Linked DNA regions of Solanum lycopersicum. The protein of the gene in region 1 interacts with the protein of each later gene in a pairwise test. Links are inferred from orthologs where the notes say so. Each region holds a gene or a part of one and is shown on either strand. Other genes may lie near its edges.

Evidence for each region.
Region 2: the proteins of ABCB14 (region 1) and FKBP42 interact in a two-hybrid assay, tested with the Arabidopsis thaliana proteins (2 studies listed by BioGRID, with this or other methods). The link is inferred for Solanum lycopersicum from reciprocal best matches to the Arabidopsis thaliana genes ABCB1 and TWD1.

The regions. Positions count from the first base shown.
Region 1 is NC_090808.1:2,180,177-2,182,816, reverse strand, and holds the end of ABCB14 (ABC transporter B family member 1), read left to right. Parts: coding exon 1-51; intron 52-475; coding exon 476-1,753; 3' UTR 1,754-1,929; downstream 1,930-2,640. UniProt on the Arabidopsis thaliana protein: Brassinosteroid exporter that, in conjunction with ABCB19, supports the accumulation of exogenous brassinosteroids (BR) in the apoplast, thus promoting BR signaling initiation involving the specific receptor BRI1 and required for plant growth and stress responses.
Region 2 is NC_090800.1:78,210,317-78,212,930, forward strand, and holds the end of FKBP42 (peptidyl-prolyl cis-trans isomerase FKBP42), read left to right. Parts: intron 1-148; coding exon 149-333; intron 334-416; coding exon 417-539; intron 540-636; coding exon 637-789; intron 790-1,234; coding exon 1,235-1,561; 3' UTR 1,562-1,843; downstream 1,844-2,614. UniProt on the Arabidopsis thaliana protein: PPIases accelerate the folding of proteins. It catalyzes the cis-trans isomerization of proline imidic peptide bonds in oligopeptides.

The DNA.
Region 1 (2,640 bases):
CTTGTCCTCATTGGGGTCTTCCCCGTGGTCGTTGCAGCAACAGTTTTACAGGTGAGTGAGTTCATGGAAACTCAAATTGAATCCCACAACATGTTAATTTATCAGTTAACAGGTTTATCAATAAAAATGATCAATCTCTAACTCATTAAGACACTTCCTGTTTCTGTATACTCCTCCGTCCCAATTTACGTGACATTCTCTCCTTTTTGGTCAGACGAAGAAAAAGGATAACTACTCTCCATATTTAGTTACAATTTGACTTTATACTTCTCATTCTACCCTTTGTGAGACGATATATATGCACACAAACATCTATGACTTATTTTAGACTACAAGTTTTAGAAGTCTTCATTTCATTTCTTCAACTCCATTCCTAGTCAAACACGTTCACATAAAATGGACGGAGATTCATTAAGACACTTCCATTTTAGATTATATGTTCTTTTTTTGCTGAATTATTTGTATCTCCCAACAGAAAATGTTCATGAAGGGATTCTCAGGAGACTTAGAAGCTGCTCATGCCAAAGCCACTCAACTTGCTGGAGAAGCTGTAGCTAATGTAAGAACAGTTGCTGCCTTTAATTCGGAGACGAAAATAGTCAACCTTTTCGACGCAAGCCTCCAGACTCCGCTTAGGCGTTGCTTCTGGAAGGGACAGATAGCGGGAAGTGGTTATGGGATTGCTCAATTCTTGCTTTATGCTTCCTATGCCCTTGGCCTTTGGTATGCCTCCTGGCTTGTCAAGCACGGGATCTCTGACTTCTCGAAGACGATCCGTGTCTTCATGGTGCTCATGGTTTCTGCTAATGGTGCAGCCGAAACATTGACCTTAGCCCCCGACTTCATCAAGGGTGGCAGAGCAATGCGTTCTGTTTTCGAACTCCTTGACCGTAAAACAGAAGTTGAGCCGGATGATCCAGATGCTACCGCTGCCCCTGATCGTCTTCGTGGTGAAGTGGAATTTAAGCATGTAGACTTCTCATATCCCACTAGACCCGACGTGTCAATTTTCCGTGATTTGAATCTTCGTGCTCGAGCTGGAAAGACTCTTGCTCTTGTTGGACCAAGTGGATGTGGAAAGAGCTCAGTCATTGCACTTATAGAGAGGTTCTACGAGCCATCATCCGGACGTGTCATCATCGATGGCAAGGATATTCGTAAGTACAACCTTAAATCCTTGAGAAGACACATTGCTGTAGTGCCACAAGAACCTTGCCTCTTTGCTACCACCATCTATGAAAACATCGCGTATGGACACGAGTCAGCAACCGAAGCTGAGATAACCGAAGCAGCAACCTTGGCAAACGCCCACAAGTTCATATCTGCATTGCCTGATGGATACAAAACATTCGTCGGAGAAAGGGGAGTTCAATTGTCCGGTGGACAAAAGCAAAGAATCGCCATTGCTCGTGCTTTCCTAAGGAAAGCTGAGCTAATGCTGCTAGACGAAGCAACAAGTGCACTCGATGCAGAGTCCGAAAGATGTGTACAAGAAGCATTGGATCGCGCTTGTGCAGGTAAGACCACTATTATTGTTGCACATAGGCTATCTACAATCAGAAATGCACATGTGATCGCGGTCATAGACGATGGGAAAGTAGCAGAACAAGGTTCTCATTCTCATCTGCTGAAAAACTACTCAGATGGTATTTATGCGCGTATGATACAACTACAACGATTTACACATGGAGAAGCTGTGAATATGGCAACAGGATCAACGTCTTCTTCGCGTCCTAAGGAAGATCTAGATTGAGAAAAAAAACGCGAATTGAAGCTCAAAATGAAAATACCACTAGAAAAAAAAAGAAAGAGGAGTATACCTTGTGTAACACCCTTATTATTTTTTGGACTGCTAATTTCTTGTTCACTGTTGCTAGTATAGTATAGTATAATATGTGCATTAATCCAAAATTTATATTTATCCTTCAATCTTTCACTCTTTTTCTCTGAGAACACACCAAATCAACTCAACTTAGTTGTGGCAGTACAATGTTTGTATTACGGTAGACTGTTTACATCATAGCCCCTTACTTGAATCATGATAACGCAGAATGCTTTATGCACCGTATTTTGCTTTTCTTTAGTTGTACAATGTAGGAAGGAAGAAAAAGGGTGAGTGGGACAATTCACTATCTTTATGGGGATTTTTAGTACCTAGTGTTCATTAGCTACTCGATAAAGTGGTTGAGAGTTGTGAGGTTTCAGGTTTAAATTTCATTAGAGGAAAAAAAAACACTATGTGGTGATTCGTCTCATCTGTCCTAGCATAGGTGAATAGAGTTACTTGGTATTTGTTACTGGTGAGAGGTAACGTGTATCTTGTGAAACTGATCGAGGTGCGTGAAAACTGACCCAGATACTATCCTCATAAAAAAAGGTCAAAAGATGACATTTAATCATAGTTTCGAGCCATATACCAACCGAACTAAGTTCAGTATTTAAGTAGAGAAGGATTGCAAACTCATAATCTTCGAGTTTAAAAGGCTTTGACATAAGCATATACCGGTTCAACCAAAGAGTTATCATTAGACGAACAACTGATATTGATCCAAAAGGAAAGACGGTAGGTATAGTTAGGTCGTGATCGAAACCATCCGATATATTCATCCACAGTCATTATGCTCTCCTAAAGTGATCTCC
Region 2 (2,614 bases), on another chromosome or scaffold:
TTTTTATGATAAGTTTCAGCATTTCTATCCAACTAATCCAAGCACCGAACTGCTAATTTATAAAATCAGTTTTAGCGCTTAATAATTGTTAGCTATTTACAATTAGGTAATACAATATAAGATGTATTGCTTTGTTGTTTTCTTGCAGAGAGAAAGGAAATGACTGGCCTAGCTATTGGCGTTAACAGCATGAAATCCGGTGAGCGTGCTTTATTTCATGTTGGCTGGGAACTAGCTTATGGAAAAGAAGGAAACTTCTCTTTCCCTAATGTCCCACCTACAGCTGATGTATTGTATGAGGTTGAGTTGATTGGCTTCGATGAGACAGGAGAAGTGAGTTATTTGTTTCTTAATTAATTTCTGGTTTGTACTTACTAAAGGGCTGGTACTCATAATTTTCTAAGCAATATATTTAGGGAAAAGCACGAGGTGACATGACAGTAGAGGAGAGAATTGGGACAGCAGATAGAAGAAAGATGGATGGAAATGCTTTATTTAAGGAAGAGAAACTGGAGGAAGCTATGCAACAGTATGAAATGGTCTCACCACTGCTTATAGTTGATTAGTTCATATTTTCTAGTACCCATATAAGTTTCATGTATCCTCATCGTCATGTATTCTATTTGCGTTCCTTAGGCCATTGCATATATGGGAGATGACTTCATGTTTCAGCTGTTCGGTAAGTTCCGGGACATGGCTTTAGCTGTAAAGAATCCCTGCCATCTGAACATGGCAGCCTGCCTGCTGAAGCTCCAGCGATATGATGAAGCCATTGCACAATGTAGCATTGTAAGCACACACTTCTTCAAAGTTTAGATACGTATTGCTGCCTCCCATTTTTGTAGATAATTCTTGTCCTTGCTTTTTTCTTTTTCTGTGGCTTACTATCTTTCCGTTACCTCATGGATTCTCGGGAAAAAGTTATCTGCAATGGCCTTACTTTCCCTAGTAGAGGAGAGGTCTATAAGTTTATAATTCTTGCTAAAGACCTTACCCTGTTAGTTTGCTATGACCTAATTACTTGTTCTGGGCCTTCTGGCATTATTTTTACCGTTGAGAATACAGTTGTCCAGTTTTTCCAGGACTAAGTGCACCCATGCTAGCACTTAGGTGACTGAATTATGAAATTTATTTGCTTTATCTTCTTTCAGTGTTCTTAAACTCATTATTCAGAGAAAAAAATTACTAGGGTTGAAGTTAGTAATGTTGAGCTTGATTCACTGATGATGATTAGGTCCTAGCAGAAGAAGAAAACAATGTAAAAGCGTTGTTTAGGCGTGGAAAGGCTAGGTCTATACTTGGTCAGACTGATGCAGCTCGTGAGGACTTCCTTAAAGCACGTAAGCTTGCTCCACAAGATAAAGCCATTACAAGGGAATTGAATTTGATTGCAGAACACGAGAAGGCTGTCTATAAGAAACAAAAGGAACTTTACAAAGGACTATTTGGACCAAGACCAGAGCCTAAACCAAAGTCAAGAAACTGGCTGATTGTCATTTGGCAATGGTTATTGTCACTCTTTTATACGCTTTTCAGGCGTAAGACGCGCAAGGACGACTAACTGAATTGGGAGAGATGTTATTGTGGATCCAAAACTAAGAAACTACTTCCCACCATTTTACTCCAGTTAACAGAACTCTGGTGCTCTAGAAGCTTTTTCATTGACCTTTGTGTTGGGAAAAAAAAATCTAACCAAAGAAATTTAGTGTTTTAATTATGCAACTTTATTAGTGAGATAACACCTTGCTAATTAGTTCCTCATTCTGACTTCAAATGTTTGCTCATGATACATGTATTTTGGATATTGCAATTTCTCTTGTTTTAGAAGTAACCTTTTTCCCCTACTAGCTACAGCTTACACAATGAAGGCAAAGAGTGTGTATGCATAGTATTGAATGGGAGCTTGGAGTAATGATAAAGTCGTATCCCTCCGAGCTATAGGTCAGGGTTCGAGATGTAGAGCACCACCACTAGTAAGCTATCTACATCACACCTCTCGAATATATATATATATATATAGTGTGTGTGTGTGTGAGAGAGAGAGAGAGAGAATTAGCCACAACAGGTATCTATAGTAACTCTTTAGATTAGGCGTTAGAAAGATAAAGATTTATTGAGTGAAATAATTCCAAATGAAGATGAATATTTCAATATTTCACATGACGTTCAAATATACTGAAGTTCCTCGAACTTGTTTTGAAAAATGTTTTTTTTTTTTGAGTCTATTATTATTGATAATCGTAAACAAACAAAATTAGTTCTTTTATTGCTAATGAACAGAAAGAAACCAATTTTACTCGAAAGTCTACCTTGAACGCAGAGCTGGAAATCTGGGGTTGAATGGTTTAATAAAATAAGAAAATGCAAGAATAAAAAATAAAATAAAAAAATAAAAGAAAATTAAAAGTCAAAAAGAGTGATATGCTCTGATTTTATCTGATTGGACCACCTACCAATTTGAGGCGGAGCGGAAAATAGTAATTTGAGATTTTAAATTTTAGGACATAACAAAGAAACATTAAAAAAAAAAAAGAAATGTCGCGGTGACGATACTGTAGGGGAGGTTTTGTGGAAAAATAGCTCGACGCCAGCATGATAAAAAGCTTAACACCTC